Daphnia pulex: one gene and its partner. The protein of the gene in region 1 purifies or fractionates together with the protein of each later gene. This does not show direct contact. Links are inferred from orthologs where the notes say so. Each region holds a gene or a part of one and is shown in the gene's direction. Other genes may lie near its edges.

What was found. Proteins that work in one complex are often made in the same cells at the same time.
Region 2: the proteins of glucose-6-phosphate 1-dehydrogenase-like (region 1) and histidine--tRNA ligase, cytoplasmic-like fractionate together in Homo sapiens (co-fractionation; 3 studies listed by BioGRID). This does not show direct contact. The link is inferred for Daphnia pulex from reciprocal best matches to the Homo sapiens genes G6PD and HARS1.

What each region holds. Positions count from the first base shown.
Region 1 is NC_060026.1:14,992,917-14,999,578, reverse strand, and holds the end of glucose-6-phosphate 1-dehydrogenase-like, read left to right. Parts: exon of another isoform or gene 1-522; 5' UTR 523-856; coding exon 857-875; intron 876-1,823; coding exon 1,824-1,948; intron 1,949-2,625; coding exon 2,626-2,990; intron 2,991-3,056; coding exon 3,057-3,858; intron 3,859-3,928; coding exon 3,929-4,089; intron 4,090-4,168; coding exon 4,169-4,268; 3' UTR 4,269-4,519; downstream 4,520-6,662. Other genes in the region: pro-resilin-like, read right to left, coding at 5,608-5,889, 5,944-6,045, 6,109-6,114. UniProt on the Homo sapiens protein: Catalyzes the rate-limiting step of the oxidative pentose-phosphate pathway, which represents a route for the dissimilation of carbohydrates besides glycolysis.
Region 2 is NC_060022.1:4,993,007-5,000,801, forward strand, and holds histidine--tRNA ligase, cytoplasmic-like, read left to right. Parts: upstream 1-3,848; 5' UTR 3,849-4,010; coding exon 4,011-4,103; intron 4,104-4,211; exon of another isoform or gene 4,212-4,274; coding exon of another isoform or gene 4,275-4,337; coding exon 4,338-4,778; intron 4,779-4,846; coding exon 4,847-5,053; intron 5,054-5,119; coding exon 5,120-5,414; intron 5,415-5,478; coding exon 5,479-5,744; intron 5,745-5,809; coding exon 5,810-6,022; 3' UTR 6,023-6,088; downstream 6,089-7,795. Other genes in the region: OTU domain-containing protein 7B-like, read left to right, coding at 1-157, 222-349, 414-665, 800-995, 1,069-2,606. UniProt on the Homo sapiens protein: Catalyzes the ATP-dependent ligation of histidine to the 3'-end of its cognate tRNA, via the formation of an aminoacyl-adenylate intermediate (His-AMP). Plays a role in axon guidance.

The sequences.
Region 1 (6,662 bases):
TACTCGCACAAGTCGTGATCTTTGGCACTTCCCCATTTTCTAGACAAACAGGCACGCTTTCACTCACGTCACGATGACTATCCAAAAAAGGAAACAAAACCGTGACGCTTATCTTATTGTTATGAATAGTATATGTATAAGAGAGCCAGACACCTGTAGGCAATTCAACTTATTTCAATCGTTTTGTTTTTCTCTTTCCATTCCACACCAAAGCCTGGCTGCTATTTATTCTTATTACCGTGCCACCCATTAAGACGTAAACTAATAGCAGCCAATTGGTTCGTGTTTTATTGTCTCCTTCCTCACACATGATTGATTGCCAGCGTAAAGCAAAGACCATCAGCACCTTGTTTGGACAGCTTCTACGGTAATTAGTGAATAATTGAATCCCAAAAGACTTTCTTCAGACTATCACTTGCAACTAGTAATTAAATAGGACGTCCAACGATCGTATCTTTTATCTCATTTTTTGTTTCGCAGTCCATCGCGCAGGCGAAGTGAACGGGGCTTTTTTCTTTGCAGGAGGGGCGCGGCGAAAAACAGACAGACACGCACGCACGGTGGCTCGATATCAACAAAAACCAGCACGCATTGTAGTCTCATTTCGTATACGGCCTTCCGAACGACCACAGTTGTTGAATAACGATTGCTGAGCACATACAAACCGACTATACACACAAGCGGTGTAGTGAGTGTGTGTGTGTAGCGACGCATTAAAAAGGGGCCGGCTCGAGAGATAGTTGTCTCAATCGTTGGCAAGACGGGGTCCTTAGCTAGTTGCTGTGATAACTCGGTAGTTGTGCTTCATCCAACGACTCTTCAACACCGTCACAACAATCAACCAACAGACGACGACATGGGAACTAAAGTTGGAAGTATAAAATAAAAGTTTTTTCCCTTTTTATTTTATGTCTTTTTACATATTCCTGGGCTCGGTTTTTTGTTGTTGTGTGTGTGTTTTGTATAGTTCCATTTGAAATTTACAGCCCTTTATTTTATTTTTTTCTTGCACGTAACTCGTGGGAAATGTGTTGTTTGTCCTCTCACACTTTTTTTCTCGTCTTTTTTCCTTAATTGGACGAGATTGGATTACGGCAACCACCGAAATCTCCAACTGTTTCAATTTGACAAGACCCAACGTGTGGATTAAGTGTTTCATTGTAAGAAAAAAAAAATTCCTCCTTCATTCCGAACGAAAAAGATTCGTTTATTTATTTCTTTAAAAAAGGAAATAGCCAGAAGGCATCACATTCCTATATCTTCTCTCAATTGGGTCCCTTCTATTTTTCCTAGTACCGTTAGAGACCGCCTCGGTAGATAGTTGTCTCACACGTCTCACAAAAGTTGTTGTGGATGTCGGTCGATTGCGGAGAACAACGTTGAAAAGGAGGGGGGAGAAAGATGGACGATAATATCCAGATCATTGCTAAATGTGGAAGTGGTGGCCAACCACACCCACACGCTCGGCAGTTTAAAAATCCATTTCGAATTGGCCGTAGAGAGAAGGAAGGAAAAGGAGACCATTGTTTTAACCTCGTTGTCTGCGGTAGAATTGAAATGATTTAGAAAGCTCGAAATTTTGACTAGTTTTTTTTTTAAATTTCAATATGCATAAATTTGTTGTTGTTGCGGTGGCGGAGTCACAACTTTCGTGTGCAGCGGTATCATCAGTATTTCCGTAACGATCTAACCTCAATCTCTTTTTTTTTTTTCACGGATAACACATGTTATTGTTTTTCACGCAATTGCCCCACTAATGAAACTACTGTCATTTCACACGATTTTAATATCATTTTTTCTTTTTTGGTTGTTATTTTAATCAGGAGATTCTTCGTCGTCAGAGGACACGCTCGCTCTCATCCGCAAGTCGCTCCGCTCCGTGCACATGTCTCAAGCGGAGGTTTTTGAGGAGACCCTACCTCATAGTTTCGTCATCTTCGGGGCTTCGGTAAATGAAACTGGTTTTTAAAAATTTTCTTTAGCGACTTTGTCGGCGTCCCACTGGGCAATTCATCTTCCCCGGAATGATCGGCCAGCTCTCTCTCTTTATGCCAGTAGTCACCTGGCACCGCAAAAGCGATCGTATTGTAAATGCATAAGAGAGTGAGCGCTGCTGAGCGAGCACTCGACGCTCCGTTACACGCCACGTGAAAGTGCCCTCAATTTTGCTCGCTACTCCGCCACGTTCGCGTTTCTTTTGTTCAGAAATTCCCCCCAGTTCGATTCGAAGAAAAAATAAGAACCGGTTTTTTTTTTTAACACAAGTACAAACCCCAAAAAAAAGTTTAATTTGAAGTAGTAATAAAAAAAAAACTGGAAAAGCAACTTTAATTGCGGGTTGCCGAATCTGTTTTTTTTTTCTTTTGTTTTATCGTCTGGCTAATCGCCGCACAAACGAAAAAAAAAAAGTTACACGCTTTATTTTAATTGCACATTGTGTGGGAGAAACAAAAACGTTTATTTTTTTTAATCAGATAAGAGATAACAGAGTTATGGAATTTTTCTTTCCTCCCGACAAATGGTAGAAAATTGGAATTTGCGCATGTCCTCTCACTTTCACGCACTATTGATTTAAATGATTGTTTTTTAATTGACATGTTGATTATCGTTATTCGATGCAAACAGGGCGATTTGGCGAGAAAGAAAATCTACCCGACCATCTGGTGGCTGTACCGCGATAATTTATTACCCAAGAACACAATCTTCTATGGCTACGCCCGTTCTCACATGAAGGTGGAGGAGGTGAGAGCCAAGAGCCACCAGTACATGAAAGTCAAGGAGGAGGAACAGGAGCGCTACGAGGCTTTTTGGGAGGCCAATCGCTACTTTGCGGGCGGCTATGACTCCCGAAGAGATTTCGAAATGCTCGATCAGGAGATGATTCAGCACGAACGTGGTCCAGCCGCCAATCGACTCTTTTACTTGGCCGTCCCACCGTTCGTTTTCGAATCCGTCACTGCCAACATCCGCAGTTCCTGCATGGCATCCAAGTATAAATCTTTCATAAATTAATTCAAAGTTCATGTAAATTTAATTCATTTTTTTGTTTTTTCCAGGGGCTGGACTCGAGTGATTGTAGAAAAGCCGTTCGGTCGTGATTTGGAATCGTCGGCTCATTTATCGGCTCATTTGGCGGCTTTGTTCCGTGAAGATCAAATCTATCGAATCGATCATTATCTCGGCAAGGAGATGGTCCAGAATTTGATGATTCTCCGGTTCGGCAATCGACTGTTCGGTCCGACGTGGAATCGTGAGAGCATCGCCAGCGTTCTCATCACTTTCAAGGAACCTTTCGGCACTGAAGGCCGTGGCGGCTACTTTGACGAGTTTGGCATCATTCGTGATGTCATGCAGAACCATCTGTTGCAAATGCTCTGCCTGACGGCCATGGAGAAACCGGCCTCGACTCATCCCAACGACATTCGCGACGAGAAAGTCAAAGTGCTCAAATGCATTCCGGCCCTGACGATGGACGATGTCGTTCTCGGCCAATACATTGGCGATCCCGAAGGCCAGGGAGAAGCCAAGGAAAGTTATCTGGACGATCCGACTGTTCCGAAAGACTCCACCACTCCGACTTACGCCTCGGCCGCTTTGCGAATTAATAACGAGCGATGGGACGGTGTCCCGTTTATTCTTCGCTGCGGAAAGGCGCTGAACGAACGGAAAGCCGAGGTTCGGATCCAGTACCGCGACGTACCCGGTGACATCTTTCAAGGGCAGGCCAAGCGCAACGAATTGGTCATTCGCGTTCAGCCGGGAGAGGCCATTTACGTCAAAATGGTTACCAAAACACCTGGCATGAGTTTCGACATGGAAGAGACCGAGCTGGACTTGACGTACGGCGCTCGTTACAAGGTAAATTCTCATTGAATAATGAACAGGATTTTATTCATTGATTAATTGTTATATTGTCTGAATTGCATAGCACGTCAAAATGCCGGACGCTTACGAACGGTTGATTCTCGACGTCTTTTGTGGATCTCAAATGCATTTCGTTCGATCGGATGAGTTGGCCGAAGCCTGGCGCATCTTCACGCCCCTCTTGCACCAAATTGAAGGGGAGAAAGTCAAACCACTACCTTACAAGTTCGTTAAAACTTTCACTTTGTTTTGAGTCTTCTTTTTACTGACGTAATTATTTTTTAAAAATTTTAAATGGAAAAAGGTATGGATCGAGAGGCCCGAGAGAGGCTGACGACTTGCTGGCACGCAGCAATTTCAAATACTCTGGCTCGTACAAGTGGGTGAAACCTTCGTCCATCTAAAACGACGACATTCCGAACAACGAACATTCCTGGATCTTTTTTTTTTTACACTTCATCAAAATTAATTGAAATTAAGCAGAAAGCCTTAAATGATTTAATTATATACAGGTCTATCTTGGTTGTCCTTTTTTTAAACAAAAGATGGTAAATTTTATGTTTTCTTTCTTGTTTAAGGGGTGGAAGCGAATGTTCGGTCTCTGTATCTGGCAGATTCGTTGAGCTCAAAAATAAAGAAAAATTCTATTCCTTAATGCTAGGTAAACTTTCCTTGTTCTGTTTGAAGGAGCTGGGAGTTGGCCACAAAACATTTGTTCACCCTCACCGAATTCATGGTTCCGTTCAGATGGACATCCAGCGTCCATCCGTAGCTCTTGCAGTTTCTACTAACAATTGTTCTTCAACCACTCAATGCGTTAGCTGACTTGTTGAGTGGTTTAATATGATTGGTGGAGGTTGAAGAACAAACCGCTCAGGTGTTGCATCGTCAAGTCCCTCATCCACTTTCCCTTAACAGTTCAGCAGCCCCCCACAAGTTTGTTGGAGTGTAGAAAAGTGTTGCAACGTTTCGGTCACTTTTTGGTTGGAATATTTTGTTTATCATGGGCGGATCCAGCCGTCCGTAATTGAAATCGTTTCCGCAGATATTTGGTTCCAAATGTTGCTCATTTTGGCGATGATTTCCGGATCGTTAATTTGGTTGCCCATTGCGGTGACGTCACACTGTTTTATTTACATTAAACCAGCATAAAGTATCTGACTGAACCCAACGGATGCGCTTATATTGAAAAAGAACATCAAGCAATGGCGTTCTGGAGCCAAAGCATACAATCTCCATCGCTTTCTCAGATTTACTATTCAGGATGATCGTAAAACAGGTATTGACTTTTTGATTTCAATTTTACATAGTAAATTTACAAATTACTTTTCCTGATTCAGTAGGGCATTACTAAACATTTACGCTTCACGGAGAAGCACGCAACAACTTTCTAGCTGAGGACAACGTCACGGCTCTGCTTCACGACAATCGAAAGTTAATGTAGATGCGCATCAATGCAGTGTCCTCATCCCCCAATAAGTATGGGACTCGATCTTATTTATCTAAAATTCAATCAAGTTATTGTCAATTTTCTTGTTTTATTTAGGCAATTCTTCGATTATCTACTATTCAGCTACGTATTTCTGTTTCGTCAGTGAACTTGCGCTACTTTGTCGCTTTATATTTCCATTCCATATATTACAAGATTTATAGTAACAAACTTACAACCAATGAGGCATTTAGGGATCGGAGAAAACGCATTGGTTCATTATGTTCCTGCAGATTGTCGAGTGTTCGGGCTATTTAAGCACTTGGGTATGGTTTAGATTGTTCAGTTTGATAACTCGCTGGTTTGTTGCTGTATGAAGAAGGTGCGGGATACTGGGCCTCTCCTTCGTATTTGACTTCAGCGACGTATCCGTTTTGGTCGGCTCTGTAGGTGACGATTTGGGTGCGGCCGTCGGGCAAGGCAACGCGGTAGGATCCGGTCGTGACTTTGCCGTCGCTTTCCTGTTGGTGCGAGTAGTCGTTCTTGCTCGGCTCGTCCTTCACTTCCCAGGCAAACGAGTGCGGCATAGGAGCGTGCTATGGAAAATCAAAATTTTTAATTTGAACACTTGAACGTTATTTTTAATTTACCTGCTGTTCTTCGTAGGATGACTTGGCGGCATTGCCGGCGTACTGTTCCTGTCCGACTGTCATAACGACAGCCAACGAGACAAGGGCGACGATAGTTTGGACCTGTTTACGAGCATTAAACTAAAATAAAAGTCGCAATCATTTGAGTAATAAAATGAACAAGACCTGCATGTTGGTTGGTGAAGCTTTTGGTAGGAGAATCGAGAATCGACTGATGACTTTTACCCAGTCGACACAGCCGTTTTATAGTTACACTTTTACACGATGGCCAAGGTGATTCTCGATAGTGTGGTCAAGACGTGCGACTGAGATTATTATTGGAAAGAAAAGGGAAACTTGTCAGGTAAAAGAACAAGAGCGACAATTACTTTTGAACGTTCACTTTTGTGGTTGCATACCGTTATATACGTCAAAACTTTCATCCGGCGTTGTAATACTATGGGAGAATTTTCTATTCGCTTCACCTTTCCCTTAGTTGATCCATTGACATAATGTTATTACTTGCTAGAAATCTTGGCTTTTGGGGTGTTAGAAAATAATGGTATTTTCGGCTGATTATTGCTATCCGCTCTTTTGCAGTTGAAATAAGATGAAACATTACGAATTAACTGTTGCCGTCAAGGAGCAAGGAGTATTTGATTCTAGAACCCTCGTCAGAGCTATAGACTCTGCCCTCGTCCAAAAATGGGCGAAAATTGAAATATTGCTTCATTGGTATC
Region 2 (7,795 bases), on another chromosome or scaffold:
TTTCTTGAAAATGAGTTGATTGACACCTCTATGGCTGTGTCGTTGCAAGAGGCTGTCCGTTTAAACTGGTGGACATGTTTAGGTGAAGGATGCGAGAAACTATGGCCGCTGTCGACAACAGGGGACGGCAATTGCCTTCTCCATGCTGCGTCTCTAGGTATTTTTCATTGTTTTTCCGTGTGATAGAATAATTTGATTTGAAATGTTACTTATAATCACAGGAATGTGGGGATTTCACGATCGACTTCTTATACTGAGGAAAGCACTGCACAACTTTCTGACCATGGGGACATTTCGTCATGCCTTGTGGAGGAGGTGGAGGTGGCAAAACGCTCGATCCAACCTCCAAGTAATAATGTTTTGATCCCAATGTTTTATGGTGCCGTAAAATGATTCGATTGAAACTATTGCAGGCGGGATTGGACTTGCGTCTAAATGAGGAAGAATGGCGACGAGAATGGGAAAACATTCTGAAGCTAGCTAGTTCTCAGCCGAGAACATCTGGTTCATCTACACCAAGTGCATGCGAAACGGAAACCGATGGTCGCGGAGAATCCTTTAACACCTCGAGTAAAACTTACGAATCCCTGGAAGAGATACATGTGTTAGCATTAGCCCATGTTCTCAAGCGGCCTATTTTTGTCATCGCGGACACTGTTTTAAAAGTAGGCGATAAACAGGCTCACATGATTCATGTCACGCCTATCACTCACGAAGGATCTAAGCTGATTACGACTGTCTGGCGGCCTTCTTCTGAGCTTTATTTTAAAACGTTTTTATTGGTCTATATCTCATCCAGGATGTCAATGGAGAGGACCTCGCACCTATCCCATTCGGTGGCATCTACCTTCCGCTGGAGATTGAGCCTAGTGAATGCAGCCGGTCGCCTTTAATTTTAGCCTATGACGCTGCTCATTTTTCAGCTTTAGTTGCCATGGCGCCTCAGAAGAAATTCTCCCCGACCACTTGCGAACAAGTTCATGAGCCACCTGCCGGTATTTTCTTGTTTATTCAGAGCCAGCTTTTGTCACTGTTTGGAAATTGGTTTTTCTTTTTAAACTATTTTAGTTATTCCTCTGGTGGACGTGGATCGTGAATTATTGCCCATCCAGTTTGAGGTGGATCCAGGCGAAGCGTGCGTTTGGAACCGGGATGAATTCAATGAGGCTGTTGTTCAACGGGTTGCCTTCACGCATGAGGATCGTCTTGCGTTGCTGAACCAGTTCCTTGATTTAGTCGACATTCCGTGTCCGGCAGTCATTAAAAATAGCAGCTCTAAAACTTCCAAAGTCAAAAATGATACCAAAGCAAATGGAACTCTCAGTCGTCCGTCACACGACACGGAAGGATGGAGTAGTGATGGCGAATTTAATGGGGCTCGATTTGGTCCATCCGGGCCTAAAGCCCCTGGCAAGCAGCTACACTACAGTGTAGCTAAACAATTTGGCAGTCTAGGGCGTTCCGTCGGTCGCAAGATAAAGAAAAATTTGATTGACAACTTCACCCTGAAGCATCCGCTACCGTCGCCAGCCCGCCTCAATAATGTCCAATGGGAATGTCCGGATTTCATACTGTGTGCCCGTCTGCATACCGAGAAGCACCATCCTTGCCTCGAGCAGATGATTAGCAATTACATGCAATCGGCTCGTCATAGGTTTGAACAGCAGCAGGCCGAACGTCAACGTCAAACGCTTGTCTGGCAGCGCCGGAAGCAGCATACCTTGGCCGAAATGGCCATCCAAGAGGGACCTAGCCCTTGCATTAATCCCAACTGCTCCATGTACGGGACTGCTCTCACCAGCTACATGTGCACGGCCTGCTACGCAAAACAACTCGAGCAGGAAGAAGAAAGGGCCAAGAATCTGAAAGTGGCTGCTACAAAATCAAACAGCTGCGGCAATCAAAACGCTCTGTACGGAATTGGGAAATCCGTGTTCTATGCCCAATCAGACAGCCAATCTTACGCCGATGCCACCAACATTCCGGCGCGCAGACCACCGAATGGACAAAACGGGACGCTGTATCTCTCGAATTCTACTTTTTACGGCGACGGGAATCCGCCCAACTCGGCAACACCTTCTCCTAAAATCGAGGAAAAGGTTGTTTTCGAGAAGATAAGTCCTAATATTTGTGAAAAGTTTAAACAGCCCAGCGTGGTGGAGCCAGTCGGGCAACAAGCAAAAGCGACCACACCAACCATGCCGACGATCATTGCCAAAGTTTACGAGCGCAACGGAACCCATAAACCAACTGAAGAACTGATTGATTTGAGGCTGGATCATCCTGAAGAACAACAAAGGCCAACACATCCGGTCCGCCCGCCCAGACTTTTACAGCAGCCACACAAAGGGGTGGCAGGAAATTCTCCTGTGGACGTCGAGTTACCGCGCTCTTCCCCCGTAGTTGAGAAAGTTGTACCGCAGCCTACGTCTCGACTTTTATCTCATTATGATAGCATCCGCAAACAGTGCAAATCAACCGGATGCACCTCGTACGGCATGGCGAACACCCAGTGGTTTTGCTCAGATTGTTTCTTTATCCGAAAGAAAGCTGCACTGGCTAGGGAGTCCATCCTTGAAGATCTGAAAGCGGCGCAAATGCAATAGTGAAAACGGAAGCAAATAATCTAGACTAATTATCCAAAAATTTCAGCCTGACTTTGTTCATATAATCGACTATTTATGACTACAGGGATACCGTTCCTCCAAAACTATTTCCTTACAAATACCAGTACGTTTTTGAAGAAAAAAAAAATAATTAGTAGCCAACGATTCAACTGATTGCCTTATTTTTCATGGATAGCGTCAAGCTTTTCTCGTTATCTCACGCTTTGAAACGAATTTTAACGTGAAATTGCAATGTCAGTGAATTGCGGTTGTTTGTTTTGTGTGGCTTTACAAGTGGGCGGGTTCTGGTTCCATGCAGTTGTTTAGTCTCAAAAAGATTGGCTGAGTCACTTTTTAGTCGACACGTTCTTTTATTGAGAAATGTAGCTTTCTTCGATTGGATTTGTTCATAGTTGTAATATCGATTTCTTCAAACAAATGTTGTTTGCGTATTATCAAGTCCTTCTCTCTCCGCGTTTAAAAAAATCATTTCCGTCGCGTTTTTATTTCTTTTCGTTCTTTGTAGCATGCAAATCTCTCTAATCCGGGATATGAATGTTTTCTCATTTTTCCACATCACTAAGATGATCTGTCTTGATCAAAGAACGTCATATCTGGCATTTATTATTTCGATGTAGCTTGTTGATGACTATATATATATACGTATATATAAATGAAGTAAAGTAAATACACAACTTGCTCATTCACTAGCGTCTAGATGTGAAAAAAGGTTACGTTGTAGTTGTACTACTAAAGAAGAGCCCAATACAATTAAAAACGAATAAGTTGGTATGATCATCTGGGATATGAAAGGCGTCACGCACATCCTGTATCACGCAGTCGTCGCTGCATAGTACTTAAAAAGTAAACTTTCAGTTACCATGACCCGATTTTGGAAGAGCATGCCAACTATAGGTGGATCGCGCTCACATTAGTATATCTTCTAAAATGTCAGGGGACGTATAAGAAAAATAAGCAAAAATACATAATATAAGCAAAATACAATCAAATATTTACGAATAACGGGGTAGGTACGGTACACTCGCTGTTTTTTTTATAATTCAAACTTGTCTAGACGGATCATTTTTTTTTAAATGCTTGCAGCTTAAAATTCACAGTTGTAAGGTAGGCTAGTAATCCGAAGAGACTCAAGAGAGTACAAATTACGATATGCATATTTACGACGGATTTACCCGGTCGGGATTATTTTGGTTCGTTCGTTCGCAGACAGAAGTTCATTCAAGTTGCATACTTGTCTGATAGGTGGTGGGGTTGTAGCCAGCCAGCTGATGCAATGTGCACATTGTAGTACTTGCATTTGATGTAATTATTCGTGCAATATTCTTTCATCTACTATTCCGGTATTTATTGCAATTAGTAAATAGTAATCTCCACACTTAAATCATGGCAGATGCCGGTAAAAGTATCGCCGACCAGATAAAAGAACAAGGAGAGATCGTTCGAAAACTCAAGGCGGAAAAAGCCGGCATTGACAAGGTATAAATTAAGTTTCCATTGCTGACCAGCACATTGTATAAAAAAGTTATCAAAGGTTTTTTTATTGGTGGAACTTCAATTCTTACAATTCTTCCACACTTTTCAAAGGTGGTTGAATCTGTTGCATAGTTTCCTTTTCTATATTGTCAGTCTGCAAAGTGTTGATTGAAAATGAGACTTATCAATTTGATGCCCGGTGCTTATTATAAACTATTCCGCTGCCTTTCTTCCAAGATCACAGAGGAAGTCTCTAAACTACTGGCACTGAAGGCTCAACAAGGAAGTGACAAGGATGAAAAATCCAGTGGCAAATTCGTCCTCAAAACAGCCAAAGGAACTCGTGATTTCAACCCAAGGCAGATGGTGATCAGGCAGCAAGCTTTTGACAAAATTATTGCATGCTTTAAACGCCATGGTGCTGAGACTTTGGACACACCGGTTTTTGAACTGAAAGAAGTCCTCACTGGAAAATATGGAGAAGATTCCAAACTTATCTACGATCTGGCGGATCAAGGAGGAGAAATCCTTTCACTTCGTTATGACTTGACCGTTCCCTTTGCTCGCTTTTTGGCGATGAACAAGGTTGGATCCATCAAACGGTACCAACTCGGCAAGGTGTACAGAAGAGACAATCCTGCCATGACCAAAGGAAGATTTAGGGAATTTTTCCAATGTGTAAGACTCTTTTAATTAAGCAACTTGTTGCTACTGATATTTTAATTGTACCAATTGTTTCTTTCTAGGATTTTGATATCGCTGGCCCAACTGATCCTATGATTCCCGATGTCGAGTGCGTCAGAGTGGTTACTGAAATTCTCGATTCGTTGGATTTGAGCGAACACATCGTCAAAATTAATCATCGTAAAATTTTAGATGGCCTTTTCGAAGCTTGTGGTGTTCCTGATACTCAATTTCGAGCTATATGTTCCTCAGTTGATAAACTAGATAAGGTACGATATTCTGTTTGATACTAGAATTGCATATAAACAATTAATAAAAACTTTATGCATTTCTAGTCGCCTTGGGAAGAGGTGCGTAAGGAGATGACCGATGAGAAAGGTCTAGCACCTGAAAAAGCTGATCAAATTGGACAATACGTTCTTCGTTCTGGCCAAGATGACTTGGTAGAGCAACTGTTAGCCGACCCCAAATTGAGTTTATCCAAGTCGGCGATTGAGGGCCTTGAGGCTTTGAAATTGTTCTTCAGATACGCAGAACTCTACGGAGTTAAGAAGCGTGTCAAGTTTGACATGAGTTTGGCCCGAGGATTAGACTACTACACCGGGATAATCTACGAGGCTGTGTTAACAAGTATTTTGTATATATTTTTTGTACATTAAAAGACAATCCTATTTAATATCCATTATTTTGTTAGACCAAAACCCTGAAGAAGGAGTCGGTTCGATTGCAGGTGGCGGTCGTTACGATAATTTGGTTGCACTATTCGATCCTAAAGCAAAGGCCGTCCCGTGTGTCGGTGTTTCGATCGGCATTGAGCGGATTTTGGCGATTTTGGAGAACCGAGAGGCCAATCTTAAATTGCGAACCGTCGAAACCCAAGTTTACGTTGCAGCTGCGCAAAAGAATCTCTTGGAGGAAAGGATGAAAATTTGTGCTGAGCTCTGGGACAAGGAAATAAAGGTTAAACGACGTGCTAATTAACACCTAAAGAACATTTACTAATGCAATTTTATGTATCGTTGCAGACGGAAATGTCCTATAAAGCTAATCCAAAGTTGCTGGGGCAATTGCAGACTTGCGAGGAGCAGGGTATTCCCTGGGCAATTATTATTGGTCAATCGGAATTGGAAAAAGGAGTGGTCAAACTGCGTCACGTCCCGTCTCGTCAGGAAGAGGAAATTGAACGTTCGAAATTGGCGGACGTGTTGAAGCAAAAATTGAACGCTTCCATTGTTTGAAGATCACCTTTTTTTGCCAGTGCAAAAGATTCTATCTTGAAATAAAGATATTTGGATCTACTGAAATCCATCGTTTTATTTGCTGATCCGATGAAACGATTGACAACCAATTACTTTAATTTACTCTGCTTATTATATATAAATGGGTACATTTGTTTAATTAAGTGACGAGTCTTACTTTGAACACCTGATCAATCAACTATCACTAATGCCTGACGTAACTTAGTAAAGTGACATCATTAAAATTGTATTCCATCCTCAGCAGACTGTGGGGCGTTACTGACGGGAAGGGGGGGGGGGGGTTATAGAGACAGGAGTGACGAGGGCTTTCCTGTTTCCGGATTTCCATGAAACCTCATAAACGATGCTTGTATGTTGCAGGTGAAAACACATCTGCTCCGTATCTCAAGGGACAGTTGCTATAGCGTAGAACAAAGAAGAAGATCGTGCTCAGTACACAACGGTCGATATTCTTCTGGGTCGCTCGTCCGTCAACTACGAACAATGAAACTCATTTGATATTCATGAGTCGGCCCACGCCGAAGAGTCGTTTTAATATTAGAACAAGCCAACTGAAATACGAGCAATAACCAGAAAAACTGCACTTGTATTTGCCATGAAAAGTAATGTTCATCACATGTTACTGGATAGCAGAAATATGTTTTGCTGTATCATCGTCCCGAATTACGTCAGGTTGGTATAGTATGGTCACATTGATCACATTACATCGACATGTCACGGTAACAAAAGGCAATACAAATAATGAAGAAAGAAGATGCTTTCTACTTAAACTCTGCCTTTACAGCTGCCTGTACATATATATATATATAGGCTACTACCTGGAAAAATGATAGAAGACGAGACTGATAGCCGGCATATTTTTAGAAGCAGAGGTTAGTCAGTTAGTGAGAGTATATTTTTCTAGCCATAAAGGAAGAGGATAAACATTTCTTCGCTAAAGAGAAACGATCGTGTGGACTACTTTGTGACACCATTCAAAGCCAACGCAAACATTTTCGATCGGCTAAAAATATTTCCAAAAAGTCATCCCCCCAGAAAAGGGGGGTGGCGTGGTCTTTTTAATTCTCGCGGATCTCGCCACCGTGCGCAAGGAGTTAAAAACCGAGAAGAGGCTTCGCTAAGCGTCTATGACGCCTTCCCTTCCTCCTTGATTTTTGTTAGGGAAAAAAAGCGTTTTACAGTAACTTTTCTGGCTTATTCAAAGATATTTACAAGACACAGTCGCCCGCTTCTTCGACTGTTCACAAGAACGGGCAAATGTCAACTTTGATTCACATCCAACCGTTCGGTAAGTTACATTTTTAAGTTGTAATTCTACGTTGTCTATCTCGCCCATGCCAGGCTGTGTGTGAAGTTTCCCTCCATCAGGCATCTACTTCCATGCGAATCGATAAAACTCATTGTTTAATCATACCCAATCCTGCCTCCATTTTTGATCGACACGCTATTCAACGTCGTTGAAGAGCTGTCTGATCACTTTATTGACATTTCCTTTCTGCAGCTCAAATGTGGGATTCATGTAGTTTGTCAGGGGACGTTAAATTTTTGGTTTCATTAGTAGACGATGTGGGTTTGAATTGGCATTCTCATCTTGTCTCTTGAGCATCGAAATGCCTTCATCAAGAGACAAACCCTGTTTATGTGGCTTGCAATAGCAGGGCTATGTAGGATTGAATAACAGGTGGTAGGCTTAACATCTTTTAAAGCTTAACAGGCAGTTCCATTTTATTGATGCATTTCAACATGGAGATA